5 linked regions of the Cricetulus griseus genome follow. The protein of the gene in region 1 binds, or shares a complex with, the protein of each later gene. Links are inferred from orthologs where the notes say so. Each region holds a gene or a part of one and is shown in the gene's direction. Other genes may lie near its edges. The genes, in order: Tbp, Taf1c, Gtf2h3, Taf11 and Taf8.

What was found.
Region 2: Tbp (region 1) and Taf1c share a complex: the UniProt entries of both Homo sapiens proteins name them as parts of the transcription factor SL1/TIF-IB complex. The link is inferred for Cricetulus griseus from reciprocal best matches to the Homo sapiens genes TBP and TAF1C.
Region 3: Tbp (region 1) and Gtf2h3 share a complex: the UniProt entries of both Homo sapiens proteins name them as parts of the TFIID-containing RNA polymerase II pre-initiation complex. The link is inferred for Cricetulus griseus from reciprocal best matches to the Homo sapiens genes TBP and GTF2H3.
Region 4: Tbp (region 1) and Taf11 share a complex: the UniProt entries of both Homo sapiens proteins name them as parts of the TFIID basal transcription factor complex. The link is inferred for Cricetulus griseus from reciprocal best matches to the Homo sapiens genes TBP and TAF11.
Region 5: Tbp (region 1) and Taf8 share a complex: the UniProt entries of both Homo sapiens proteins name them as parts of the TFIID basal transcription factor complex. The link is inferred for Cricetulus griseus from reciprocal best matches to the Homo sapiens genes TBP and TAF8.

The regions. Positions count from the first base shown.
Region 1 is NC_048595.1:294,444,374-294,449,876, forward strand, and holds part of Tbp (TATA-box-binding protein), read left to right. Parts: intron 1-2,462; exon of another isoform or gene 2,463-2,467; 5' UTR 2,468-2,578; coding exon 2,579-2,632; intron 2,633-3,548; coding exon 3,549-3,919; intron 3,920-5,503. UniProt on the Homo sapiens protein: The TFIID basal transcription factor complex plays a major role in the initiation of RNA polymerase II (Pol II)-dependent transcription.
Region 2 is NC_048596.1:196,236,250-196,242,200, reverse strand, and holds the start of Taf1c (TATA box-binding protein-associated factor RNA polymerase I subunit C), read left to right. Parts: upstream 1-1,811; 5' UTR 1,812-1,880; coding exon of another isoform or gene 1,881-1,919; intron 1,920-2,712; exon of another isoform or gene 2,713-2,727; 5' UTR 2,728-2,728; coding exon 2,729-2,866; intron 2,867-4,171; coding exon 4,172-4,253; intron 4,254-4,392; coding exon 4,393-4,490; intron 4,491-4,561; coding exon 4,562-4,651; intron 4,652-4,733; coding exon 4,734-4,807; intron 4,808-5,306; coding exon 5,307-5,545; intron 5,546-5,653; coding exon 5,654-5,770; intron 5,771-5,883; coding exon 5,884-5,951. UniProt on the Homo sapiens protein: Component of the transcription factor SL1/TIF-IB complex, which is involved in the assembly of the PIC (pre-initiation complex) during RNA polymerase I-dependent transcription.
Region 3 is NC_048597.1:104,284,679-104,290,730, forward strand, and holds the start of Gtf2h3 (general transcription factor IIH subunit 3), read left to right. Parts: upstream 1-2,558; 5' UTR 2,559-2,678; coding exon 2,679-2,691; intron 2,692-4,562; coding exon 4,563-4,645; intron 4,646-6,052. Other genes in the region: Eif2b1 (translation initiation factor eIF-2B subunit alpha), read right to left, coding at 968-1,084, 1,187-1,323, 1,697-1,798, 2,488-2,500. UniProt on the Homo sapiens protein: Component of the general transcription and DNA repair factor IIH (TFIIH) core complex, which is involved in general and transcription-coupled nucleotide excision repair (NER) of damaged DNA and, when complexed to CAK, in RNA transcription by RNA polymerase II.
Region 4 is NW_023276806.1:233,026,706-233,032,891, reverse strand, and holds the start of Taf11 (transcription initiation factor TFIID subunit 11), read left to right. Parts: upstream 1-2,591; 5' UTR 2,592-3,308; coding exon 3,309-3,473; intron 3,474-5,645; coding exon 5,646-5,794; intron 5,795-6,186. UniProt on the Homo sapiens protein: The TFIID basal transcription factor complex plays a major role in the initiation of RNA polymerase II (Pol II)-dependent transcription.
Region 5 is NW_023276806.1:256,849,779-256,855,281, reverse strand, and holds part of Taf8 (transcription initiation factor TFIID subunit 8), read left to right. Parts: intron 1-928; coding exon 929-1,027; intron 1,028-1,535; coding exon 1,536-1,598; intron 1,599-3,107; coding exon 3,108-3,232; intron 3,233-4,694; coding exon 4,695-4,842; intron 4,843-5,469; coding exon 5,470-5,503. UniProt on the Homo sapiens protein: The TFIID basal transcription factor complex plays a major role in the initiation of RNA polymerase II (Pol II)-dependent transcription.

The DNA.
Region 1 (5,503 bases):
CAGAATAATAACATTTTCTGATGATATCAGAAAAAGTGTAATTTTCTTGTAAATTTAGTATCTCTTGTATGTCTAGTATCTCTCAGAAACAGGCATCTCTCTCTTTTTTTTTTTTTTTGGTTTTCGAGACAGGGTTTCTCTGTGTAAGCTTTGGAGCCTATCCTGGCACTCACTCTCAAACTCACAGAGATCTGCCTCTGCCTCCCGAGTGCTAGGATTAAAGGCATGCAGCACTAACACCCGGCCTTCTTTTTTTAAGATTTATTATGTATAGTGTTCTGTCTGCATGTATCCCTGCAGGCCAGAAGAGGGCACCAGATTTAGTCCCAGCACTTGGGAGTCAGAGAAAGGTGCATCTCAGTGATTTCAAAGGCCAGCCTGGTCTACAAAATGAGTTCCAGGACAGCCAGGACTACACAGAAAAACCCTGTCTTGAAAAACAAAAGGAAAAAGTGCTTCTCAGTAATGAGTTTGTAGGAGTATCTTTTGGGTCCTCTGTCCTCTCAAAGAGATTATGAAATTCTTTGATTGATTTAGTAACATCAGAAGAAGGCCTGTGTCAGCATATACTTAAAATGACCAGGGGTCGTGAGTATAAGACTTGTAAATTTTAGATGATAATAAATGTTTAGAATAAGATCTGATTGTTGGGCTGGGGAGATAGCTCAGTGGTTAAGAGGAGTTACTGCTATTATAGAGGACCTGGGTTTGGTTCCCAGCACCTAGATGGTAGGTAGCTCACAACTATCTGAAACTCCAGTTGTAGGGAATCCAATACTCCCTTTCTAACTTCTGCAGGCACTACACATGTGATGTGCATATATACATGCATACAAAATACTCATACACATAAAATGAAAACCTTTTTTTAAAAATGTAATAATATCTGTCCTGTACTTAACTATGTGTATATAGATTCACCCACTCCCGCTCCCCCCCTTCTCCCTCCCCCCCCCACATACATATACACATTTTCTCTGTGTAGCCCTGGCTGTCCTGGAACTCAGATCTGCCTGCCTCTGCCTCCCATGTGCTGGGATTAAAAGTATGTGCCTCCACTGCCCCGCAATTAGATTCATCTTGATTGATAGCTCATTCAGTTTGTTCATCCATTGTTGATTCATTCAGTCCTTAGGGCATCTCTGAGCAAGTTATTGGTCTGCATGAACTGACTTGATTAAAACAAATGTCTTTAAAGAATTGGGGATGGGCATTTGCCTAGCATTTATGAGACTATGTTCTGTCACTACCATTACCAATTTAAAAAAAAAAAAAAAAAACTTTACATAGTCTCTTATTCCATATGCATATTGAATATGGCCACTAAAATGATGATTTATGAAGCCCAGTTCCAGGCATAGTTTTCATTAGTATGTTCTAAGGAGTTAAGAATAAATATTGTATTTATAAAATTGATGTATCATTTATTGTTTAATCTGTCTTTAATTAAAATTGGAACACAAAAATGATTACCTATGCTAAAAATGATTACACAATATGCTTATTGTGTCCAGTTCAATATTTGTGGCACTTTATGCTTGAGACATTGTGAAGGGTATAAAACTGAGAATATTTAAAAACCAGCATTGACCTAATAGTGCTGTATAAACACTGCTTAAGAAAGTATTCTCTGATAATACAATTTGCTTAGGAATTAGTTTTCTCTAGGTGTTCCCCCATACCAAAAACAAGTTCTTTCTACCTGGCCACTAACCAGGTTTATTGGTTTATTCATCAACCAATAAGAGAAACATATACACAGAAGGACATCACCACATCATCTCCTCTTTTCTAAATAAAAAGGGTTTTATCCTTAACATGGTAAAATTACATATAACAAAACAGTTATCAAGTAAGAACTATAGTTACAATATTTAGTCCATTAACATTTAGCAAGATTTAAAGAAAATATTCTATCTATCCTATCTTTGTGAGTCTAAAGTCTTATGTGTAACTTATCTTTTATCATAACTAAGGAAAACAGTAACTGTAACTATTTGTCTTCAACTCCATCAAAGACCATAGAAGGATAGTATATAAACTCTAGAATTGACAGAGACATCTCACTGCCTGGTCAATCACCCAAAGTTCCTCTATAACATTGGAACATCCATCTTCGGCCCATAGGCCATAGTGTGTCTGACAGACTTCTCAGTGAAACAGGAAATTTTAAACTGTCCTTCTGTATTGGCAGACATTTCCATGAAGCAGGAACCCTGCAGGACTGTCCCATTTTGTTTCAGCAGTTCAGCAGTCACTTTCCTGTGGGCACTGCATGTCCACCATATACGGTATACAGGCAAACAGTCCAGGCAAGAGCAGTTTCTTGCCCAAATAGTCATGTCAAAAGCAATAGGCTTTTGGGATTGAAAGATAAATATATTTCTCCAGGATAGATTTTGTGTGTGTATGTTTTGTGTGAATATGAAACCTATTTAAACTTAAAGCATTTTTCCCCCAAGCACAGCATCACTGTTTCATGGTGTGTGAAGATAACCCAGAAAATTAAAGGAGTTTCAAAAGAGAATTTGCAGAGGATGCTCTAGGAAAAGTCTGAGTACTGAAGACAGTGAGAACCATGGACCAGAACAACAGCCTTCCACCTTATGCTCAGGGCTTGGCCTCTCCACAGGTAACAACAGGAAGGGGGGACAAGAAGGGCTGACAGAGAAGGTGAAATTTAACCATCCAGTAATGGACATGGATTTGTATGTTTCTCAAGCTTGTTTTACTTTGTGAAAATTTATGCTGTGGATAGGCATAATGCCCCTTTGCTTGGGAGTTTATTTAGAAGACTGTTCCATCTTTGTGAACTGTAGAACATTTATTTCATTTGCTTCAGGAGGTTCCTTCTAGACCCTCTCGCAGTCACTTTCCTAGCCCAAGATGACAACCAAATCTGCTTTCCAAAATTAAACATGTTTTGATGTAAAATGTATGTGTGTATTTGCAATAGAATTAAACCTAAATTGTTACTAATTTAGTATAAATTTTGCCATTTTTTCTTTCTACTTCCACATAAATAATTACTAAATCTAACAATGTTTGTAAGACATAGAAGCATTATAGAAAAGGCAGTTAACAGTATTTTATAGGCTTTGTTGATTTTTGTTTTTAGTAGAATAAATAGCTCTTTGAAGTATCATAGAGTATACCATGAGCTTGTCATCTTGAACCTCTAGGTGACTTTGTGATCCATCATCCAAATGGTCACATGTTAAGCTAGAGGGTAACCCTCATATACTGGGTAGCACTTTAAAGGGACATGTACCTTTGATTTGTCCTTATGGTCTAGATATGCTTGGGAGGCTAAGCATCTTTCTTGTATATCATAAATAACAGATTAGAGATGCTAAAGTGCTCAGCTACTATATTCAGTACTACAGAAGAAAAGGGATGCATCTCAGGATAGCAGATTCTTCCCAATATTTAATGACCTATTATATTCAGCAAGCATCAGGTTTTACACTTTACCTGGGTTCCACTAGGAAAAGAACCTGTATTACTCAACATTAATGTCTTAAGCATTCTCTTTTTGCTTTCCACAGGGTGCCATGACTCCTGGAATTCCCATCTTTAGTCCAATGATGCCTTATGGCACTGGACTTACTCCACAACCTATTCAGAACACCAATAGTCTGTCTATTTTGGAAGAGCAACAAAGACAGCAGCAGCAGCAGCAACAGCAGCAGCAGCAGCAGTCTGTAGCAACTGCAGCAGCCTCAGTACAGCAATCTACATCTCAGCAATCCACACAGGGTGCCTCAGGCCAGACTCCACAGCTCTTCCATTCTCAAACTCTGACCACTGCACCATTGCCAGGCACCACCCCCTTGTACCCTTCACCAATGACCCCTATGACCCCTATCACTCCTGCCACACCAGCCTCTGAGAGCTCTGGGATCGTACCACAGCTGCAGTGAGTACCTCTTACCTTGTTTGCTCATGCCCTCTCCTCCCCTCCCCCAACGTGTGTGTGTGTGTGTGTGTGTGTGTGTGTGTGTGTGTGTGTGTGTGTGTGTGTGTGTGTGTGTGTGTGTGTGTGTGTGTGTGTGTGTGTGTGTGTGTGTGTGTTTTCCTTGTCCTCTGCACCAGAGGAAGCTTTCAGTGGTATTACACTATTTGCTTTCAGTCTTACTTAAGGAAGTGACCCAGTGGTAATTCTGTTACACTGCAGCTTCCTCGGCTTTTGGCAAGGAATTGAAGCTACAGTCAATGCTCTCAACAAAACCTTTCCTTAGAAATGGAATTGCTTGTGTTTATGTGTTTGAGTCACTGAAATGAAAACTGAGTTTCATCAATACTGTGGACATTTCCCTGTAGCTAATTGGCTGAGTCACAGTGCAGTTGTTTTCACAGGCTTGGCCATAATGTTAGCAGAGTTCTTAAGTCCAGATTTTTCTACAATTTCGCTGTGAGGGCTATATTTTATCTTTGGAATTTGTGTCTCTCTTTCAAAGTGAGGATAGCAGTTCTTGTCTTGATACATTTTTCTGCCTAAGTGAAGTAGTTCCCACGTGTGAAAAGGTAGGAGATACAGGCTTTTTTCTTTCTTCTGAAACAACCAAATCTAGATACTCCTTAGTAAGAAGTATGCAGCTTTACTTTAAGGAAGCTTATGTCCTGATTAAAGGGTTCATTGCAGATGACAACACACTATTCAGTTTGTGTTTATTAACCCGATCTTCCTACTTTCAGATGTTTCTTATTTACACATGACTTTCCTTTTACATATATAATTGTCATTTGTAAGCCATGCCAGATCATTTTTTCTTTTTCTTTTCTTTTTTTTTTTTTTTCCGAGACAGGGTTTCTCTGTGTAGCTTTGGAGCCTATCCTGGCACTCGCTCTGGAGACCAGGCTGGCCTTGAACTCTCAAGAGATCTGCCTGCCTCTGCCTCCCAAGTGCTGGGATTAAAGGTGTACACCACCAACGCCCGGTTGCCAGATCATTTTTTAATCTAAGTGGTATATAATCATGAACCTCGACTACTATACCCAAAAACTTATACCTTGCCTGTATGCAATTTTAAAATTACTTTTGATTTTAATATTTTAGAGAGACAAGCCCTTGTTACAGAAAGTTCTTTCCCACCAGTCTGGTTCCACAGCTGTCTGATTGCCCTTGAGTTCCAAATAAACACACAGACCTTATATTAATTATAAAACTATTGGCCAGTGACTTGGGCTTCCTATTGGCTAGTTCTGTCTTAATTATTTATCCATTTCTATTAATCTAAGTATTTCCACGTGGTCTAGACTTACTAGAGAATATCCAGACCTGTTTCTCATTTCAGCAGCTACATGGTGATTCCTGTCTGTCTACCCTTCCCAGAATTCTCCTTTCATAGCCCCGCCTATCCTTCCAGCCTGGCCACTAGCCACACAGTGTTTTTTAATTCATCAACCAATAAGAGAACATACACACGGAAGGACAACCCCATCAAGCCCTGTTAGCTCTCCTTTGTCTGTGCTGCTTCAAACTAATTTTTCATGCCATTTT
Region 2 (5,951 bases), on another chromosome or scaffold:
GGTGCTAAAGTCACATGCAGGGAAATCCTGTATTGCCTGGGAATGAGAAATATGTTGACTTAAGAACAGCCCTCCTCTCTATGATTAGAGAATAGAAGATAGTTTACTCTTCAGCTAAACATGAATGAGCATGCCCACACAGGATGGCTAAATTGATTGTCAACTGAACATTTGGAATTAATTGGGACCTAAACTGCTGGGCCCCTGTGAGGGATTTTCTTAATTATTTGAAGAAGGAAGACCCACCCTAAATCTGGGCCACACCTTCTGGTGGTAGTCCAGTTAAAAGGGTGTGAAAAAACTTTGATTTTTTTTTTCCTACTTGCCCTTACTCTTTCTGGCAAGACCATTTATTTATTTATGCCATTGCTGAAGCATTCCTTTACCAAAATTCGAACCAACTTCTTTATAATTTTAACAAAGACAGTCAATAGCTCTTCAGGAATCATACAGGACTCTAGCACCAGACAGGGACTGCTAAGACATCCAGCCTCATGTACTGAACATCACCTTTTGGGTCATGGACAGCTATTGTTGGACTACCCAGATCACAGCTGTAAGCCAGTCTAATAAAATCTCTATTCTATATTCATCCATCTGTTCTGATAGAGAACCCTGACTAACACCCAGAAACACAGATTTAGAGTTCCCTGGATAATCTGCTACATGGAGGAGACAGATTAGCGAAGTTTTGCTAGTTCCAGAACAAAGGAAATCATAACCCAAAAACAGTTTTCAAATACATTGGAGGGAACATCATGTAGGTAGGTTATAGCGAAGCAGGAGCATCTATTTTAGGTCTCAAAATTCTATCTGAAGTTTTCAGGTAGGGTCTCAGCTATGCAGGTCTTAGACCTCTGTCTCCCTGGTGTGAATAGGCTCATTCCTCCCCTGCTAGCATTGGACCCACTCTTGCTCTGAGTTCCCAGGTGTTGATAGGAAGAAAGTTTTTCTCTGTGACCCCAAGTTCTTCACCTTGAAGTTACATAAGGATCTGTCTTTCTTTCTTTCTTTTTCTTCCTTCCTTCCTTCCTCCCTCCCTCTCTTTTGAGACAAGGTTCTCACCATACAACTTTGGCTATTGCTGGGCAGACCAGGCTAGCTTTGAACTCACAGAGATCCACCTGTCTGCCTCCCTAGTGCTGGTTTAAAGGCGTGCACCACCACCACCCGGGACAACCTGTGTTTCTTTTCTTTCTCCCCCCCACCCCCCCATAGGGTTTCTCTGTGTAACCTTGGCTGTCCTGGAACTCACTCTGTAGACTAGGCTTGCCTCAAACTCAAAGATCCACCTGCCTCTGTATCCTGAGTGCTGGGATTAAAGGTGTGCACCACAAAAAAAAAAAAAAAAAAAATCTGTCTGAAGACATTCTTAGCTTCCTAGTGGGTCCGCAGAACCACACATCCTAAGTTTCACGTGAAAGGCACAAGACAAAAGCAACTTGCAGGCAGCCCCCACGACTCGCTGCTTCTGAGTTTGAAAGTCTCCCAAAGCACGCAGGTGCAAGCTGGAGTTTGAAGACTACAGCCTAATACTCCTTCCTGGCCCCTGATTTAAGCCACGCATGAGCCCAGGGTCATATGAAAAGCGGATTCCTAGGATTTATGGACAATAAATACAGTGCGTGGCCCATCGGAGGTGGTCGGTGAGATAGTTAGTTAATGAAGCAGAGCAGGATCATCCAACACCGGGATGGGAATTCCACGCCTCAGGCGCCACGACCACGCCTATTCCTTGTCTGCCCGGCAGGTAGCGCCGGAGAACGCAGTGAGGCCTTGCTGAGGGCGGGATTTCCTGTTTCTCGGGAGCACTTCCGGCCTGGTCCGGAAAACAGTTCAGTCCGGCTGTGGATGCTCACGAGTTCTGAGCTGAAGAGTTGATGAGTGGCGCTCCGGCTCCTTTTTGGGCCCCGGATCAGGTGAGACTGCCGCCGGGAGCCAGCATGGTCTGCGCGCGGGGATGATGTGAGCACGTGGCGGTGCCGCGAGGCTACAGAAACCAGGGGCAGGCGGGTTCCAGCACTGAGGCTGGTCTGGGACGCTTGCAATGAGGGCGGGCGGTCTCGGGACCGGGTCTCCCCTCTGGCACACATGTGAGCAAGTTAACCACACACCGATTCCTCAGATCCTCAAATTCAGGACCTTTATGCCGCATCCAGCTGGTGGTAGTGCTCAGCGGGTGCTGTTGTTCAATTTAAATTTTCTAAACTGTGGGCTGATTACTCCCTAATGCTTCTAGAGCAGTGGTTCTTAGCCTCTCTAATGTTGCCTGCGACCCTTTAATACAGTTGTAGTGACCTCCAACAATAAAATTGTTTTCGTTGCTACTTCATAACTGTAATTTAGCCTGTTATGAATGATAATGTAAATATCTGTGTTTTCCGATGGTCTTAGGTGGCCCTTGTGCTAGAGGGTTGAAAACCGCTGTTCTAGAGAGTTCCTACTTTTATTCGATCCTCAGAGCCTTTGCACGCACTCATTCCCCCTGGACCCTCTACCCAAATGTGTGCTGAGCTATCTGTCTCCCTGAGTACCCGTAGGGACCCCTCACCTGCCCATCAGCAACCTCCCCTGTGATGGGGGAGTGAGCAGTTCTCTAGAGGCCCTTCTTACTCTCTGGCATTAGGCTGCATAGTCTGGTTTTTACCTGTTTCTTTGTAGTAGACTTTGTAGCACTGTTCAGACTCCTAATGAAGATGTGTGTGACATTAGATGCATTTTCTCCAGGATGGACTTCCCCAGCTCTCTGCGCCCCTCGTTATTTATGGCTGGGCCTCTTGGCATGACTGATGGTCCTGACCTGTCCTTCATGTGCAGCTGGAGAGATGCACTGACCATGCCAGGGTCCCAGCCACAGAACTGCAAGGTGAGGATGGAAATAGGGCACTTCCTTTGGTCCCCCTCTTATCATTAAGACTCAGTGGCACAGATGATAGACAGGGCTAGGCAGATGCTACTCCTGCTGTGCACAGGCCACGCTGCTACCCAGAGAGAGTCGATCAACAGAGGCTGTGGCTCCTCTTTCCTCCTTCTCTCCCTAGATTCAGCTGGTATTTACTGACTAGTGTTTCTGTGCCAGGGTCCTTACAGGCCCAATAGTCCAGCATGAGGAAGTTAGGCAACCCCACCTTGGGGACTGCCAGTTAAGGTGGGAGAGTTTGTACCAACAGGCAGACACTGTGTAGTGTGGCCTTGGTTCTACTGGAACAGTGGAATGGCAGGGAAAGGGGGCAGGATTTCTGCTGGCATCTTGGTTGGGACTTCGTTAGCTGCCCAGCTGCCTTGTGGAATTGAGTACATACTGTAACGATATCTCTTTCCACCAGCTGCCTGAGTTCTGCTGCCTTTTAGGGCCCCCAAATAACACACAGAGTCTTATATTAGTTACAATGCTGCTAGCCAATGACTGGGATTTCTTATCTGCTAGCTCAGTCTTAATTATCAACCATAACTACCAATCTCTATTTTTATAAGGACATATCTTACCAAGGATGCCGGCCTTATGCTTGTCCTCTCTTCCTGGGGGATCACATGGCGACTCCTCTTTTCCAGAATCCTCCTCCTCTCCTAGTCCTGCCTATCTTGCTTTCCTATTGGCCAATTGTGTTTTATTTACCAACCAATAAGACAAACATATACACAGAAGGACCGCCCTTATCAACATACAGGAGAGTGGGTCAAAGAGGGGGTGTTGAAGGAGGGGGTGTTCTTGGACCTTGAGTTAGCTCATTGGGTTCTGGGTGCACAGACAAGGCATGGGTGTGGAAGCTGGTGTGAATGGACTTTAGGATACAGATTCTGGAGTTGGCTGCCTGGGTTTAAGTCCCTGCCTTCTTTCCTGACTCTTACCTGGGGCAAATGACAGCAAACTTATGCTTCAGTTTCTTTCTTTTTGCGGGGGGTTCCAAGGCAGAGTTTTTCTGTGGCTTTGGAGCCTGGCCTGGAACTTGTTAGCTCTTGTAGACCAGGCTGGTCTCAAACTCAGAGATCCGACTGCCTTTGCCCCCGCCCCCCCCCCAGTGCTGGGATTAAAGGCGTACGCCACCACCACCCGGCTGCTTCAGTTTCTACATCAGTGAAGTGACCAACTTTGCAGAGCTGTCATGAGGACTGAATGAGTTTTAGTCAAAGAGTGCACCCCTGCCATGTTATTGCTGTCCTGTTCCCCTAGGATGGGACATTGCCATTGGCCAAGAACCTGCTGTGGGAGCCAACAACACCAGGACCCCTCCCCCTGCTGCCTCCTGGTCCTGGTAAGGGTCTCCTTCTGGGTTCCCTCCAAGGACCTCAGCCATCAGACACACATACATTCCAGATCCTGGATACCTCCATATATCACTGTGTTTCCATGCTGCCTTCTCAGGTTCTTCTTTGACCTCTCTCTCCCCTTAGATCCCTGGGAACCTGGCATGACCCCTCGGGACCTCCTTTTCCGGGGAGGTCACCGCTACCAGTTCCGGCCTCAGGTTGGGCTGGATGTCACTGAGCAGGTAAGTGGTCCCTGGGTGGGATTGTGCTGCACAGCCTGGGCTGTGCTGAGTGACACAACCATTCCCCACAGCTCAGCCGCTTCCTGTGGGACCATGGGGACATAGCCTTCACACCCCTGGGGAGGCTCATGCTGGAGAACTTCAGATTGGAGGGGAACAAGGTGAGTAAGTGCCATGGGGTGAAGGGTCAGCCACCTCTCTGGTGAGACCCAGGGGTGCAAACCTGACAGACCTTCCCTGCAGGGCTACTCGAAAAAGATGACCATAGTCAGCGCGAAGAGGCTGCTTCAGGACCTCGGTGGACACCAGCCCTGGGGGCAAGTAGCCAGTGAGAAAGCAGCCATGGATAGGCCTGGCTGGTGGTGGGATGTAGAAGGATCTAGGACACAGACCAGGTTTTCATCACAGTGGCTTTTCTAACCCAGCCCAAAGTCATGAGCCACGAGTCCACAAAACCCAGCTTCAAGCAGCTTAAGGGAAAAAAGAATCGGTCATTGGTTGATCTTAGTTACAGCTCATCCAGGTTTTCAGAATGTTTACAGGGCTCTCTTTTCTCATCCACTTCCTTCTGTCTGACTTAATTCAAGTAGCAACAGGATTATTCCAAGGAGTTAGTATCCAAAGTATCACAAATCCTAGAAAAGACTGGTTGGTCTGGCTGGATCCTCCCAGCTCTCTGTGGCCCACTCACTAGGAGGTCCTGAAATATTCAGGGTATGGGGTCCAGGAACTGGGTAGGGTGTTTTCTAGGGAGTTGTCAAAGAGACTGCTTATCCTTCACTGTCCCAGTACCATCCTCTGCTGCATTGTCCCTAGGTGTCCTTGGGCTTTCCTTAGCCACCGACTACGTCGCTTCTCCATCCTTGGGGGTCCTGTCCTGAGCAGTTCAGTGTCATTGCTTTTGGGGAGGCTGCTGCATGAAGAGCTGGCTATGCGGTGGGAGCAGTTGCTGCTGGATGAGGCCTTCACCGGGGGTGCCTTGGCCTGGCTTCCTGGAAGGACAGCACGGGCTGGACAACTGGTCTACCCTAGTGGAGGTGCCTTGGACAAGCTGAGTATCCTTTCTCATGTGGTGGGGATCCTGAGGCCATCCACAGAGTGGTCCAGGGGAAGAGTTAAGACGGGTGACAAGAATCCATCCCAGTCCTTAACCAGGGGCTCAGATTTCCAGGAGGTCAGTGTGAACTCAGGTGGCAATCTCAGGGTCCTTGAGGACCCCGGGCACATCCAGCTGCGGGGACCTGTACGGCAGGTGGTGACCAGCACTGTCCAGGGAGAAAGTGAGAGTCTTTCCCTTGCATTCTCCCTTCCCCTTTTCCTTCTTGTCCAGCTGGCTACCATCCCAGCCAGTGCTATACACACACTCCAAGTCTGACCTTTCTGTTCTCCCCAGCACTTCTGGCCGTCCGCTCTGACTACCACTGTGCCATATGGAAGACTGATAAGCAGGGGCCACCAGCA
Region 3 (6,052 bases), on another chromosome or scaffold:
AGGCACGGTTTGCGGAGGCTGAGGTGGGGGAAGGCTGTGCTTTTGGCTCAGAAAACATGAAGGCTTTATTACCCGGTGGAGTGGACAAGTTGAAGACTGGCTGAACCTGCCATTCCTCACTTGACTAGGGATAGGTCACAGCTCCACCCAGTGCTGATATTGGCTCAAATGCATGACAATGACCATGGTAATAGCTGGTCTGGTCAGACTCATTTCAGATTAGAGGACTAACTACAAACCCAATCATAAAAACATCTTTTTTTTTTTTTTCTTTTTTCTTTTTGGTTTTCTGAGACAGGCTTTCTTGGTGGAGCTTTGATCCTCAAACTCCCGGAGATCCACCTGCCTCTATCTCCTAAGTGCTGGGATTAAAGGTGTGTGCCACCACTGCCTGGCTATAAAAACACTTCTTTAGAGTGGTGAAATGGCTCTGTCAGTAAAGGTATTTGTCATTAACATAACCCCAATGACCCAAGTTTGATCCCCAGAGCCAACTCCTCTGACCTCCACACACTCACTGTGGCACCTGTGCATACCCACACAAACACCTAATAAAGAAATAAATGTAATTAAAAATACTTCTTAGAAAAATAGCTTACTAAGGAAGAAGCTATGGTTATAGTCCAGTGGTACAGCATGTCTAGCATGCTTGAGGCCCTTGTTTTCATCTCCACCTCCACAAAACGGAAAAAAAATTAAACTCAAGACTCATCTATGTTGGTCCCATGTTCTTCTCCTATTCATGGTAACTGGCCTCTATAGTACCTGTGTTTACAGAGCACTGCCTACACTTTGCATCTCATTTGTGCCTCACCAAACCTGTCAGCTGCTGTTGTCCTTATTAACAGACAAGAAAACTGCAGGACAGAGAAGTGTCTTGTCCATGGTGGCACAGTCAGGATTTCAGGCCCAGCACCCTGACTCCAAAGCTTTTGATTCTATCAGCACAAGGGGGCCATCTACTCACCGCCCCATCTTTGATGAAGGTATGGCATAGGTCCGCAATTTTGTTCCTTGACAAGGATATTCTCCTGAGGAAAAGCTCCCCTCTCTCAATCATGATCTTCTTACATTTGGAGTAATCCTGGGGAGAAAAGAGCAAAATGAAGGGGGGAGATCCCAGGAAAGCTGACAGGATCTGTAGACAGAGAAGTAGAAGGGCCTCCGGGGGGGGGGGGGGGCTTACAGAGTACTCCAGGGAGGTAAGACTGATGAATCGAAGGAAGAGCTCTCCACCAGACGACACGGCCACGGAGGAGTCCACACTACATAGGGTTTCTATGGCACTGGTGAGATTCGCTCTCAGGCCCTGGAGTGTCTCCCCTGCAATGATGAAGTGAGGCACCACTATAGCCCAGAAACACCAGAATTGTTCTGAACATTCTCTATGGCATTTGCACAGAATCTAGGTCAAGCTAGGAGCTTGGTTCTCATCTATAAAGCTAAATTACTGCTATAATTTAAGCCTTTTGGCTAGGGCTGTATTGTTGACTCTTGACTCCCAGTGTATTTTGTAGGTGGATGGGAATCCTTTAAGTGACAGCCTGAGGGCTCCCTCCAGACTGAAAGGGCGAACATGGAGACAGAAGCTGAGCTTGAGACTGTAGGCAAACATGCATGTCTCCCTGTCCACGTTCCTACAAGTCATCTGAAGACTGTCCTAAGGCCCAGACCATTCAAGGCTGACTCTTTATACCTTTGTCTCTCTTCAAGAACTCCAGCAAAGTGCGGATGGCAGCTACAGCTGAGGCCATGTTAGGATCGCCTTTCATCTGAGACTTGAAGTATTCAATTAACTCTAGGAAGAGAGGAAAAAAATGGGTTATCACAAGAACTTAGCAAGATGAGGCTAGGGCACTTTGTAACAACTGCTGACCTCAAGAATAAGAAGCAAAAAGGTTTTTTTTTTTAAAGTAGCTTTTAAAGTTACAGGGCACATTAAACAATGACGGGGATAGAGAAGATTCCGTACTGTTGGCAGGGACAGACCTCTTTCATATTTTAAACAAGCTATTGGTGTGCAAGGCAGAGAACTTAGAGACCAAGTCCAGGGGCTAGTAGTCTAGGGAATCCTCACAGCCCCGTTATTATTTTCTCCTGCAGGCCTTTGAGCAGTCTACAATCGTTAACTCATGTGCATAAACACAATTGTAAAAATGCTTACAGTTCTACCTACTTCACTTTTTCGTTAAAATCAGTGTATTCGTTTGCTTTTTCACTTAACAAAAACATTCTGAGAACCATGATGGGCAAGCAAACCAAAGATGCCTTCTATCTTCCAGTAGGGAAACGCGTCTTCCTTCTGGACACCAGAGCTGCGGAGGCCTGCACACTGTTACTTTGGAAGTGGACGCTCGGACAGCGTGTGGGGAAGTCAGTTTGCGAGCGTCCGAGAGGCCCAGACCACGGCACAAAGAGCAGTGACAGCAGGAAGCGGATCGAGCCCGGACTACCCGTGTGTCCCCGCCGCTCCGGCCACCCACTCACCGTGGTCCTCCATCGCTCCCTCCCGCAGCCCGCAACCGCGCCGGCAGCAAGCCACAGGTTGACAGTGTGTCGCGCTCTTCACGCATCATTTCCGTTGCCGCCAGCTTGAGGCTTACGTCACTCACCAGCGCCGGAAGTTGTCGTGCGCGCGTCGAACCGTGGGCGGCTTTTCTCCGAGGCTTAGGGGCGCCATGGCTGCTGACGGTGAGGGTGGCACGGACCGGAACGCGGAGCATGGCTGGGAGGGACGCGTTTGGTCTTTAGACGAGCAGCCAGTGTATTCGTCCATTCACTCAGCGATTTCATTTTTGAGACAGGGTGTCACGTAGAACTCGCTGAAGGATGGCCTTGAACTCTTGATCCTCCAGTCTGCTTTGGAGTGCAGGGAATTACAGGCGTGCCCGATCAAGCTCGATTTTACGTGGTGCTCAGACCTTTGTGCATTCTCAATGGGCATTCTACCAATTGAGCCACATCCCCAGCCCTAATTATTTTTTATATAGACGCTCGCTCAACCTGCCTTAGCCTTCCGAGTTCTGGGATTACAGGCCCGCATTAGCATGCCCAGTGTGTCATTCAGCGAATAATGGGATTGCCCCCTGTGTACTGGACACTATTTTCCAAACTGGAGACTACAGCACAGAACTCAACACAGGAAAGTTTTGAGTGTGTAGTGTCTTAGGGTCGAGAGAGGCAATTGGCAGGTGAAATTACTTCCAAGAGGCCACCAGGGCTATGAAGACAGATGTGTGGCAACTAAGTTCAAGAGGACTATCTTTCGTTAGGAGTTCAGGAAAGATGGAGACACTACAACTGTGGCTTGAGCGACATTATGAAGTTCATTTAAAGTACAGACATCCTGGGAGGTTAAACCTAGAAGAGTAAACTGGGCAGTTGGAGGATAGAGGGAGGTGGGAGGCTCTTATTCATACTCTAAGCTACTAGTTACAGCTTTTAAATTACATTTCCTCCCAATGATTCTTGCATTTACTGATTTAGTATTAGTGTGTGTGTGTGCACTCGAGCATGCTCATGGAAATCAGAGGACAACTTGTGGGAATAGTTCTCTTATTGATTGTTTAGGTCTCAGGGATTGAACTCATTCAGGCTTGTCAGCAGTCGCCTTTACCAGCTGAGCCCTCTCGCTGGCCCAGAATTATCTAGATGGATAACATTAGAAGCATCACTTTGACTCCTGTGTGAAGAATGGATTGTGGGGGGCAAGAGTAATTAGAGAGGTGCATTCAGCAACCATAGCTGTTACTCCCACCTCTGTGAGAAAGGCAGGCCTGCCATGGCTTCTTAGCCAATGAGGCACAGGCTGAAGGAAATTGGCAGAGGTGTTTCATGTGCACGTTTCTGACAGGCAACCCATTGTTTTCTTTCTCAAGCTACTTGGTACTAGAAAGGAAGTAAGAGCAAGTAGGATTTAGTTCTGCAGAAACCAGAGGTGCAGGGTGATTCTTAAGAAGGAGCAGGGGATGCAGGAAGGAAGGTAGGAGGCAGTAAAGTGAACACTGCCTTGTGCTATTACATGAGCACCCAGGCTTTTCGTGATAACAGGCACTGGCAGGATTGCTTTGTCCTTTGGAAGTGTATGCTCTTGGCTGGGTGTGGTGCCAGATGCCTGTAATCCCAGATACTTAAAGAGGTAGGAGGTTACCAAGTTCAAGGCCAGTCTGAACAGTTTTTTGTTTTTTGAGACAAAGTTTCTCTGTGTAACAGCCCTAGCTGTCCTGGAACTAGCTCTTGTAGACCAGGCTGGTCTTGGACTCACAGAGATCCACCTGCCTTTGCCTCAAGAGTGCCACCACCGCCAGGCCCTATTTTTTTTTTAAAGAGGTACCAGCTATCAAACCAAGGACTTCCCCAGTAGAGGGCAAGCACACTATCATTTAGCTGTGTCCTCAGCCCTTAACCTTTAAGGGAACTTGGCCCTTTCGGTGAGCTCATGATCCATCAGAGGATGATAACCATTTGAAGGCCTCTGGGTGATTGATTGACCCTCAGGAATGTTATCTGTATTTCAGTTTCATGAGGCTGACATTTTAAAATGTTGCTCTTGTTCCTGTTAGCAGAAGATGAGTTGAATCTTCTGGTTATCATAGTTGACACCAACCCGATTTGGTGGGGAAAGCAAGCATTAAAGGGATCTCAGGTAAGATGGCTTGAGCCTTCCAATGATTCTCCTTAACTTCAGTATGTCTGTATGCCACCCACTACCCTGCAAGCAGTATTGAGTGTTTACAAGCTGGGTGTGGAGGCCCTCGTCCAGTCCTAGCACTCAAGTGGAGGCAGGCAGATCACCGGAGGTCAAGCTCATCTCTGGCCATCTGGGCTGCTGGATACACTCTCAAGAAAGGAAAGCTGTGGGTGTGTAAAAGCCACCAGTTGTACTGTACAGACCAGGGAGTTGTATAACCAGCCCCCACAGTTCCTTCTCAGGACACACATGAAGTTCTCAAACCTGTGGACCATCATTCCTGCTTCCATCCTACATGTTCAGGCAGCCATTGGTTGCCTCCTGGCTATTTTGCTTCTCTAAGCAGTTGATATATCTATTGTATGAGTGGGCATCTTTTGTTATATATTTACATGGGGTGGGGGTTACGGTGTGCCACAGCACTTATATGGGGGTCAGTGAACAACTTTTGGGTGTCTGTTCTTTGCTTTAATCATGTGGGCTCTGGGGCTTGAACTTGGGTCATCAGACTTGTGGGAAGTGCCTTTAACCATTGAGGTAACCCATCAGACCTTGTCTTTGGACAAGGTCTTTTTTTTTTTTTTTTTTTTTTTTTTTTTTTTTTTTTTTTTTTACATTTATTTTTTGTGTATATGTATGGATATTTGGGTGCTTGTAGAGGTCTCGAGTTAGTTCGCTCTTCTCACCAAGTGGGTCCCAGGCATCAAAGTTCTTATATTTGCTGAGCCATCTCATTGACCCAAGTTTTAAATTTTGATGAAACACGGTTTATGTATTAAAACAAACAAAACTGTGCTTTTTTTGGTTTCTCTGTGGCTTTGGAGGCTGTCTTGGAACTTGCTCTTGTAGATCAGACTGGTCTTGAACTCACAGAGATCCGACTGCCTCTGCCTCCCGAGTGCTGGGATTAAAGGTGTGCGCACCTCCTGGCTTGATTGTGCTTTTATTATTTTTTTTTCAATGCAGAAACTCAGGCTGGCCTTAGCATGCTGTACAGCCTGAGGATGACCTTGAACTTCTGGTCCAGTTGCCTCTGTCTCCTAAGTTCAAGGTTTCCTAGGTTACTGGCATTACATGTAATGCCAGTATTTGAAAAATAATGTTCTAACCTATAAATGATTTGTGTCATTAAAGTCAGAACGCCTCCCCTCAGGCGTTGTGCTCCAGGTTTTAGGAGAGGTGAAGCTGAGGAAATTTTTAGTGTTGAATCATTGTGTCTGATGTCAGGACTATCCGAACACAGTGATACATGTCGTGACATGGGGAGATAGAGACAGATGAATTGTTGGACATTTGTTGCTATTCAGTGAGCATCAGGGCACCCAGGGGAAGACCCTTTCTTAAACACACCACAGTATATAA
Region 4 (6,186 bases), on another chromosome or scaffold:
AGGATCTGACTATGGGGCATTTTCTCAATTAGTGGTTGATGGGGGAGGGTTCCGCCCACTGTGGGTGATGCCATCCCTGGGTTCTGTAAGAAAGCAGGCTAAGCAAGTCATGATAAGCAAGCCAGAAAGCAGCACCCCTCCATGGCCTCTGCATCAGCTCCTGCCTCCAGGTTCCTGTCCTGTGTGAGTTTCTGCCCTGACTTCCTTCAGTGATGGACTGCAACGTGTAAATGTAAGCCATTAAATAAACTTTTTCTTCCTCAAGCTGCCTTTGGTCCTGGTGTTTGATCACAGCAATAGACTGAGACTCTGTCTCCAGGCACGGACACAGGAACTGAGAACTAAGAACTAAGTGTGAGGAACACTGTTGTCAATATGAGAGGCAACAGTGTATCCATCCGTTCTTACTTTCCTTTAAGTGGCCCAACACTCAGGATCCCAAGCAGGAAGTGCCCTGAGTAACCCACAAGCACCAGTTAAGTCTCCTTTCTGTGCCTCTGAGCACAGTGTGCTTACCTGGAACCTTCTCACTACACAAGAGCGATCAAAGTCAGCCTAAGTACACCTTCCCCTGAGGTTCTGACTTCCAACCTATCCCAAAGAGAAGTCTGTACTCTCAAGTACCAACCACTAACAGTGAAGACCACCACTGATTTATTTAGAGATGGTTGCTCCCCTCAGGGGATGGGTCAGGCCATAAAGACCTTGTTCAGCAAACAGGAGCCCCTGGATTTGGACCCTACCAGTCATGTTTAGAGGAAGGAAAGAAAAAAGGCAGAAAGGCAACAGGGCTGTATGTGAGGGTGATCCTAGTACTGGGAAGGCAGAGGCAGGGGGAATCCCTGGGACTTGCTGACCAGCCAGTATAGCGCAATTAGCAAACTCCAGGTTTGGTGAGGGACACAGACTTAAAGAAAGAAGATGGACAGCAATTGAAGAAGACACCCAATATCAACTTCTAGCCTCCATCAGGCACACACACAAAATGATCATTCTTCCAATGAGTGCTTTTATCTATTCAACAAATCTTGAGTGCCTACTATGAACCAGTATTGTTCAAGGGACAGGGGAAATTGCAGCCAACAGAACGGGGTTTTGCTTCCCCAAAGGGCAGGGTTCTTCTGGAGTGCTTTGTAAAGTCTTCCTGAAAAGATGAAGGTTGCTACTCTGTACTGAATACCGGACTGATTGTTAGAGCCTTGGGTTTCTTCGGTCCAAGCTCTCCAAGCTCACTCAAACTGAAGGTACATAAACTAACAGGGAGCAGAAGCTAACGAAGCCACTTCTAAATGAACTTCCACTTCTTAAAAACCTCAAAAGAACAAGGAAGGAAAAGAAAACAGCCACGAAAGCGCTGCTGAACCAACACATTTTATACACTCTGACAAAGCATTCCAATCCCCCTTGTGAGCGACAAAGAGTGCCCCCCCCTCCCCAAGCCTTGCAGCCCCGGATTCAAGTGTCTAACAGATCTCAGAAAGTTGAACGCACCTCAGTTTCCTAACAAGCCTTTCCAAACCCTGATTTCTCACCGAGTTAAGTCCCGGGGGGGGGGGGGGGCGGGGGTGAGCATATGCCACTTGGACCAGCCAGCCCATCGAGAGTGACTACAAGGAATCTGACGTCAAATTTGAGCTTCAGGCACCAGAGAGGCTCAAAGCCTGAGCACCTCGTGCGCGATCCATGCAGGAGCAATTTTAAAAACAAACAAAAGCCGGGTCCCGCACAGCCCGGTGGAGCGTTCCAAGTTCCTGAGAGAAGGAAATGAGGCGAACCGGCTGGGGGGGGGGGTGCCGCGAGGCTCTGCGCGGCGTGGGAGTTCCTGCACGATATGAGAGGGATTCCGCGAACTCGGTCTGCTCTGAAGTGGCTTTTGTGAGAGGCGACAGCTGGCACCCACGGCGGGCGGGCGGGCGGGCGAGGGTGACGCCGCCGGGCTGTGCCGTGCCGTGCGGCGCGCGCGGGCTGCCACCGGGGCACTCCCCCATTCTCCGCAGCCGCAGCCGCAGCCGCGACGCGCGCGCGAGCCAGAGCCCGGCCGCCCGCGCGCGCCTCAGCCGAGAGCCGCCACCTCCCGCGGGAGCCCGCGCCGTCGGGGCTCCGCTCCGCGCCGCGCCGCGCGCGCACACTCACCTCAGCAGACTGGAGAGCGGGTGGCTGGAGGAGCCGAGGCCGCCGCCGCCCCCGGAGCGCGCCGCCGCCGGAGCCGGAGCCGCCGCCGCCGCCGAAGCCGGAGGAGAGCCGCTTCCCGGACAGCAGCTTCTCCACGGCCGGGAGGTGCCCGGTGCGGGCCGCCTCCAGCAGCTCCTGCTCCTTCCCCATCCCCAGGGCCGCCGCTCCTCCGACCCCCGCCCGGGGCCACGCAGAGCCCGCGGCGGCTCCCAAACTTTCCGTCTCCGGGCAACGCACCCCTCAACCCGGCCGGGGACGCCACCCCCTCTCCCCCGCCTCCTCCGCCGCCGCCGCCCCCTCCCCGCGGCGCGTCACTTCCGGGATCCGGCGTCACGCGTCACCGGCCCCGCCTCCTTGCCCACCTAGTGGGCGGGGCCCCGCGCCGGCGCGCAGGTGACGGCGCCCGGCGCCGTCCCCGCCCAGCGCGCGCGCCCGTGGCGCAGGTGGGAGATGCGCGCTCGTGCGGCTCCCGCGCTGCGGGACACAGGGGAAACTTGGTAGCGCGCGCGCCAAGACTCGTAGGTGAACTTGGGAACAGGCGCGGAGACCCGGAGGCAGCCGCGGGAACGGCGCCCCCGGGCGGGAGGACCGCAGTTGGGCCGGAGCGGCGGCGGCTCCGCTGTAGCCCCTCCGCTGGCCTCCCAGGGCGCCGTGCGCAGGCGTGCATGCAGCCGAAGCCCCGTACGCGGGCGAGCGGGGACGAATCCGCAGCCGCTTCCGCGCCGGGCTCAGAAGAGGGGCCACGTGTGACCCCAGGCGGCCCGCGGGCTCTGCAGTCCAGGGCGGCAGTGCGGCTTTGACGCCGGCAAGCCCGGGGCTCACTGCCTTGTCACCCCGAGTCAGGTCGAGGAGGGACTGACGGGCAGGGCGTTTCCATAAAGGACGAGAGAAACAAGTCTCTCAGCCAACGAACGTACGCTCGTCCACAGCCGCTCCTTCCCTGAAGCTGCGGACGCGCGCTCTTAAGTTTCTTTCTCGTCACAACAAATGCTGCCTAAGTGGCTCCCCAGGGCCAGCCGCGCGCTTCTGGAACGGACCCCTCCGAGGCGCCGTGGGTGACGTCATCGAGGCGCGACGACAAGCCGTCAGCCCGGGTTCCACGGTAGGGCCGGTCGTCTCGCTCCCCTCCCGCCGCGATGGACAACCCTGCGGAGTCGCCCTCGGACAGAGGCGGAGAGCCGGCGGAGTCGGAGGAGACGAGGGCTGCTCCTGGAGTCCCGGCGGCCGCCGGCCCCGAGGGGGGCCCGGAGGAGACCGACGGAGATGCAGAGGCGAGCCGGAGAGCGGCGGCCGAGAGCGAGGTGGGCGCGCGCCTGCTGCAGCCCTGCGGGCCGGGGCCGGGGCCGGGGCGAGGACGGGCACGGGCGGTGCACCGAGCCCCAGCCTTGCACGCTAAGCCCCAGGGGTCCCGGGGCCTCGTTAAAACCGCCGGCTGTGCCTCTCCAAAGGCCAAGCGTCGTTGCCTCCTCGACCCTCAGCGTCCTTTTCTGCAGGCAAAAAATGTCGGAGTTTGAGAGCTGGGGCTGGCTTTGAAAGATCACGGGGTGAACAGTAGCTAAGGTGGAAATGGGCTTTCTAACCGTAACTGCCTCAAAATGCCTGACGTAATAACTTTCAGGAAGAAGAAAATGTAGCAAAACTTTATAGGATTTTGCTTTTTGTCTTTATGAGGGGCGTCTCCCTAACACGGCCTGGCCCTGAGCTTGTGACCCTCCTGTCACAGATGAGCAGCAAAACTGTTTTCAGAACCGGGCGTTGGTGGCGCACGCCTTTAGTCCCAGCACTCGGGAGACAGAGGCAGGCGGATCTCTGAGTTCGAGGCCAGCCTGGTCTCCAGAGTGAGTTCCAGGATAGGCTCCAAAGCTACACAGAGAAACCCTGTCTCGAACCCCCCACCGCCACCGCCAAAAAATAAAAAAATAAAAAAACCTTTTCAGAAAAAAATTTAAGCTGAAGTAGACAAAATACATTACAAGGCTTAATGAGCTACAAAATGAGACCTGCTTCTATCCCAGCTCGAGAGAGAGAGAGAGAGAGAGAGAGAGAGAGAGAGAGAGAGAGAGAGAGAGAGAGAGAGAGAGACAGACAGACAGACATCGAGAGGGGGGAAGAGGAGAAAGGAGGAAAGTTAAGGGCAAATAAATTTGAAAATTTGAGGCACACAGGTTAGAAAATGTGTATAGATCAGTAGCTAAAAAGAAGTTGAAAGGATTGGCAAATACATAATGCCTTCACTCTCCCTCTCCCAATTTCTGAATGAGTTTAAATATGAATCTCTTTCTAAAGGAACCATTAAATCTCACAAGTGAGTTTTGATGTATTATGATTCCATAATAAGCTTGTCATGACATACACCTGTTAGGAGTAACTTTTGAGTGCTTATTTGGAGAGAAATGTAAATAATAAACATCTTCAAACAGATTTTATAGTAGGGCAGGCAAAACGGCTCAGCAGGTAAAGGTGCTTGCCACGAAACCCTGGGAACTGGAATTCAATCCCCGAAACCTACATAAAGATACAAGAGAACCAACTCCACACTTGCAAGTCTACACACAGTATGCATGAATGCACCTAATAATTTTAAATTTGGGCTTTTAAAAATTGTTATTGTATGGATGTTTTGCCTTTGTGTATGGATGTTTGCCATGTATGTGCCTGGTCCCTGTGGAAGTCAGGAGGCATCAGATCCCCTGAAACGAGTTACAGATGACTGTGAGGTGTCATGTGAGTGCTGGTCATCAAACCTGGCTCCTGCAAGAGCAGCCAATGCTCTTTCTTAACCTCCGAGCCATCGCTCAGTTTCAATTTAAACTCAGTATGGTGGCAATCCCAGCAAAGAGGTTGAGGCAGGACAATTTCCACAATCTGGAGACTGGGGAGTGTTGGACCACCAGTCTAAGCTACAAAATGAGATGTCTTAAATTACAAAAGAAAAAAAGTTTCCAAACTGGGAGTGGCAGCAGAGGCCTTTAATCCCAACAGTTGGGAGGCAGAGGTAGGTGGATTTCTAGGAGGTCAGCCTGGAGGACAGCCAAATTTTAAAAAAAGGTTTCTAGTCTAGTAATGGGAGAGGTAGTATCTTATGATCCAGTAGAGGAAGGGTCAGAACACAGCACAGGGTGGTGCTCCCAAGACGCAGATGCTGCTGGATGGATAACTTTGCTGACACCTGTAGGGTGAGGGTGGGGGAGTGGCGATTTGGCTCCTTGGTGTTTTCCCCTTACTTGGTAAACAGATGGAGGACCTCTATGTGATTATGGCTCATGTAGAAAACTGGATTATTCCTTTTCTTCTTCAGTTGAGCTATATTCTTCCTTTAGGAAACAGACGGCAGCCTCTTAATTAATGGTGCCCAGAACCAGACAGCTCCTGTAGAAACAGATTTGCTGCTGTGGAAAGAGAGAGGGGGCCTGACTTCACCCAAGCCCGAAAAGTGTGCCAAATATGTAATAAGTTTCTGTCCATCTTCCCAGCTCAAGAGTCAGGATGTCTCAGATTTAACAGCAGTTGAGAGGGAAGACTCGTCATTACTTACTCCTGCAGCCAAAAAGCTGAAACTGGACACCAAAGAGAAGAGAGAGAAGAAGCAGAAGGTAGACGAAGATGAGATCCAAAAGATGCAGTGAGTCTTCAAGGGTTCCATCTCTAAGCCCGTCAGCTCTGCACTCACTCTTACTGCTTTTTGTGTGCTCTGAGGCAGGGTCTCATGAGCTTTACATTAGTCTTCACCTCCTGGTCCTCCGCCTCGGCCTCCTTAGTGCTGAGATTACAGGCATGAGCCACTCACTATGCCTGGATATAATTGCAGGCCAGCAAGCTGCAGGATAAAGGTGCTTGCCTCCAAGCCTAATGACCCGAGTTTGCTCCTGGGAACCCAGGAGGTGGAAGGACAGAGCCAGTTCCTGGAAACTGTCCTGTGACCTCCAAACACAGGCATGTTCCTATAAACACAAAATAAATGTGTAAATGTTATTTGTTTCAAAATGTTTAAAATATAACTTAATTTGGTCAGTG
Region 5 (5,503 bases), on another chromosome or scaffold:
CCATTTTCTTTCAAAACACCACATATATATATATATATATCATATCTTAAAAAAAATTACTCTTACTTATTTGTGTGTGTGATAGGGACTATATGCATGCCATAGCACACATATGGAGGTCATAGGATAACTTGTGGGAATCAGTGTGTGCCTTCCACCATATGAGTCCCAGGGATGGAACTCAGGTCATTGGTAGGAAGTACCTTACCATTGACCTAAATCACTGACTTTGGCTTTGCTTTTTCTCTGTACTTCAGATAAATGGAATCTGAAAATATTTATCATTTGTGCCTGGCTTATCTCATTAATATAATGTTTCAAAGTTTATCCATGTTATAGATTCCATTCCTTTTGAAGAATGTCATTCCTTTTGAAGACTGACTACTTACTCCATTGTAGAGTTGGATAGGGTGGGCACACCTGTAATCCTAGCCCTTAGGAGGTGGAGGCAGCAATATCAGGAGTTCAAATTTAGTTTCTGCTACATATAGAGTTTGAGAACCTGTCTAAAAATAAACAAAGAAGCTGGGCATTGGTGGTGCACGCCTTTAATCCCAGCACTCGAGAGGCAGAGGCAGGCGGATCTCTGAGTTCGAGGCCAGCCTGGTCTCCAGAGAGAGATCTCCAGAGAGAGTGCCAGGATAGGCTCCAAAGCTATACAGAGAAACCCTGTCTCAAAAAACCAATAAAGAAAGAAAGAAAGAAAATGCTCCATTTTATGTGTATACCCCAGTTGGTTTATTCGTCCATTTGTCAGTTTCTTTCCCACTTTCTGATTGTTGTGAATTTGGGCTGCTGTGTGTGAGGTGCACAAGTGCCTGTTTGAGCCCTGACTTTAGTCATTAGCTATATATGTAGAGCAAAACTGCTGGCTCACCTGGTAATCCTATATTGAATTTGGAGGAACCGTGGCCTTTGACTCTTGTAGACATCTCGGAAATCGGGAGAAGTGCCAAGTCTTACTGCGAGCACACAGCCAGGACCCAGCCCACATTGTCGGATATCGTGGTCACGCTGGTTGAAATGGGTGAGTGCATCTCCAGCATCCAGTGCTCTGAGTTAGGATCCCTAGGCAGGGAGGGAGGCCTGGGGGTTGGGGTGTCTGCTGAGTGCTCATGGATTCCTTCGTGTTTTCCTTGATTTGCTTTTAGTTTAGAAAGTTAAGAGGAAAGAATCCTTTGAGCCCATCTTGGAGACCCCCTGAGTCCTTTTTGGGGAGCTCTGCTGGATCTTCTTTTGAGAGGCAGAATAGTGGCTCAGTTGGGAGTTTAAGCCCCCTTTTCTCACTTTTTCTTTTCCTTTTTTCTCCCCCCCTCCCCAGACATGGTTTCTCTGTATTGCTTTGGTGCCTGTTCTGGAACTTGCTCTATAGACCTGGCTGACTTCGAACTCACAGAGATCCTCCTGCCTCTGCCTCCTGAGTGCTGGGATTAAAGGCATGCGCCACCAATGCCCAGCCCTTTTCACACTGTTAACTTCGCTTTTCATGTTCAGTATCCAATGACCTACGCAGTGATTGGCTTTCTTGTCCCTAGGGTTCAATGTGGACACTCTTCCTGCATATGCTAAACGGTCTCAGAGAATGGTCATCACTGCACGTAAGTGGCTTTGAACCCAGGGACTTAGTAAGTATACAGTGATTATGGTGGGACTCGGTTGGAGAATAGGGCAGGCATCAGAGTGGCAGCTGTTGGCTCTTTGCAAGCTCCCTTCCAGTCTTTGGGGTGGGTTAGCTACCCACAGCCTGGTTTTATCTGGACAGGAGGATTCTAAGCTACTCTGAACCACTGCCCTTGTACTTTAACCCTGAAAAGCAAGCAACGATACAGGAAGACTATGAAAGTTCTTGCTCCTTTAGATCAGGGTTGGTAAATGTAGTCCAATGCTTGCTTTTGTAAATATAATTTTATTGGCATGCAGTTGTATTTATTTGTCTGTGATTGCTTTCATGTTATAAAGGCAGGGTTTTGTGGCTTGCATAATCTGAACTGCCACTGCTTACTGGCTACTCTTGTAATCCTAGCACTTGTGGGATACATAGGCAGGACTATGACTAAGAAACAAGCAAACAAAAGTCTAAAATATGTATCATGTATCCCCTTATGTAAAAAGTTTACTCTTTAGGATAACTAGGTCCCTTAAAGTAAGGAGTAACTGCTTTAGTCTTTAGGACTTGGGGGTACTGCTGTGTTTCTTTCTTTCTTTCTTTTTTAAAATTTTATTTATTTATTATGTATACAACATTCTGCTTCCATGTATATCTGCACACCAGAAGAGGCACCAGATCTCATAACAGATGGTTGTGAGCCACCATGTGGTTGCTGGGAATTGAACTCAGGACCTCTGGAAGAGCAGTCAGTGCTCTTAACCACTGAGCCATCTCTCCAGCCCCACTGTATTTGTTTCTTAAAGTCACTTTTTTGCATTGGCATCATGTTAGATATTAAATCTGTTTATTATGTGTGTGCACGCACATGCCATGGTGTGCATGTGGCCATCTAGAGGAAAAGTTGGTGGAAGCTGTCTCCCTCCACCATGTGGGTCCTGCAGATTGGCTTGGTGGCAAGTCTTTTCCCACTGAACCATCTGGCCACCTGCATTGGAGAGAAGCAGTGGAAGGTGCCATCTTCCTTCCCCTCCACAATTGTTAAGCCCACACTTCCCCCAGCTCAGTGTTTGTTATTTGGGGTCTCTGAGCAGCGTGTGTGTGCTGGGGATTGGACCCCAGGGCCTTGTGCATGCCAAGCATAGACTACACCAAACACTGCTCCTAGTGTCCTCACTCTCTGGGAAGAAGACTAACAGCCCGTTGAATGCGAGTATTGTACTTCAGCATGTTCAACTATGTAGTGACTTTGGTGACAGCCACTCTCCTGTTGATGCAAGGGGCTTACAGGCAGATGTCACAGATTGAAATATCAAGCAAGATGACCTGACAAGGCCGGGCATTGTATGCTGATCTGAAGAGGTTATGGATGGCTTTTTATCAATAGAAATACAAGGTGCTGAGTCATGGTGTAGTGGGAAGATAGGGGTGGGGCTGAAGAAGGACTATTGTCTGTAGACTTCAGGGGTTGAACAAGTAACCAGTTGTGATTCTGTTGCAGCTCCAGTGACTAATCAGCCAGTGACACCCAAGGCCCTCACTGCGGGGCAGAACCGGCCCCACCCACCACACATCCCCAGCCATTTTCCTGAGTTTCCGGATCCCCACACCTACATCAAAACTCCAGTGAGTGGTGGAGCCACCCAGGGGCTGTGAGTGATGTAAACCAGCTGAGGAAAGGTTGCAGATGAAAGTGCTTTCAGTTCTCTGACTTTCCCTAGAGAGCAGCAATCTTGTTATAGGGAATGATGGCTCAGTCCTGTAATCCCACCACTTGGAAGGCTGAGGCAGAAGGGTGGCCATGAGTGTGAGGCCAGCCTGGGCTACAGAGTGAGATGCTGTCTCTAAGAGAGACAGGACTCAGGGAAGGAATTGATACAGTTGCCCTGGACTTCAGTCCCTCAAAGTGTCCTGGGGTTGCTATGATAAGGTGCTACAAAGTAGCTGACTTAGAGCAATAGAAGTGTATTACTTTATAGGCCTGGGGGCCAAAAGTTGAAAATCAAGGTGTTATCAGGGCCATATTCCCTGTAAAGCCTGTAAGGGAATCGTGTTCACCTTGCCTTAGTGTGTCAACATTTCTCCAGCATTTCTTGGTTTATAGATGTGTCGCTCCAATCTTCCTGTCCCCTCCACGTGGTGCTGGCTTTCCACCTCTACAGATTAAATATTTTGTCTTCCCATAAGGACACCATTGTCCTTACTTCATGACTCTTCCTAATCAATGACATCTTGGTGACTCTGTTGACAAATAAAGTCATATGAGATGCCAGTAGTTAGCTTACTATATCTAAACATTTTTTTATGGGAATACAGATCAATTCATAGTATTCATACCTCTTATATGGTATGTTAAATCCTGACAATAAAAATAATGTAAGAAGCTTCTTTTACTGGTGTTTTTTGAGACAGAGTCGTAGACAGCTCAGGTTGGCCTCCAGCTCAGTATGTAGTTAAAAAGATGACTTCAGGCTTCAGGTCCTCCTGCCTCTACCTCTGAAGTGCTGGGATTACAAGTATGTATCATTACCCCTCCCCCCTCTTCCTCCCTCCTTCCCTTTTTAGACCAGACTGGCTTTGACCTCACTGAGATCTCCTACCTCTGCCTCTCAGGTGTTGAGATTAAGGGCATGGGCTAACAAGATGGTATTCTGTAATTCTTTTGTTTTTGAGACAGGATTTCTCTGTGTAGCTTTGTAGACCAGGCTGGCCTCAAACTCACAGGCTGGCTGCCATAGTCAACTATGTAGTAAATATTTGCACTTTTTTTTTTTCCCGAGACAGGGTTTCTCTGTGGCTTTGGAGGCTGTCCTGGAACTAGCTCTTGTAGACCAGGCTGGTCTCGAACTCACAGAGATCCACCTACCTCTGCCTCCCGAGTGCTGGGATTAAAGGCGTGCGTCACCAACGCCTGGCCGCACTTTTCTTAATGAGTATTCCTGTACTGAAATGAGCTCTTTCTTTTGTATGCTGTTCCTCATGTAACCTTAGTCAGCAGGTCATGTTCTCAGGACATAGCTGCAGCAAGGCAGGGCCTGAGGAGAGCTGAATGCAGCATGGGCTCAGCCTGGTGTCTCTGTTGTTCCAGACATACCGTGAACCAGTGTCTGACTACCAGGTCCTGCGAGAGAAGGCTGCATCTCAGAGGCGAGATGTGGAGCGAGCCCTCACCCGTTTCATGGCCAAGACAGGCGAGACCCAGAGTCTTTTCAAGGATGATGTCAGCACTTTCCCCTGTGAGAGTCACCCCCCTGGGAACCCTGTTTTGTTTGAGATAATCTCACCATCTTTGCTTTCTCTCAGTGTGGTGGGGAGACATGAGTAAGCCTTTGTGTTTTTCTCTAGTGCAGTTTCTTCTCTAGATCCTTCCTCCAAGCTCTGAGAGACTCTTCCTAAAGGATGACTCCAAATGGAAAGGCTGCTCAAGGCAGTGAGTTTAGGTTACCTCACTGGTGGCTGAGCCCTGGGCAGCAAAGTCTCCTGTGGAAGTGGTGACCCAGGTAGTAGGAGGAACGCTGGCATCTGTAGCCAGTTGCTTACCAGTGTCCTTTTCTAGGCTACATCTCATTTAGGCTTTGTTGACCAAGTCACTCGTCTCCATAGGGGACCTTGGGTTATGCAGAGTTGAATGGGGGAGCTTGGTCTGTTCACTTAGTGAGTGTCCACTCGGTGCCTGCTAGCCATTCCCCACACATCACCTCAGGCAGCCATCCAGACCTGTAAGTTAGCAGTCCTTAGCTTTGCCACACAGAGGCTTGTGGGAAAGGGAAATTATCTAGCTTGAGGTTATGGTAACTGGGCAACATTCATACCTGGCTCCCTCTGGCTGCTCGACAGAGTCGTGTCTCTCTTCCAATTCCCAGTGATTGCTGCCAGACCTTTCACCATCCCCTACCT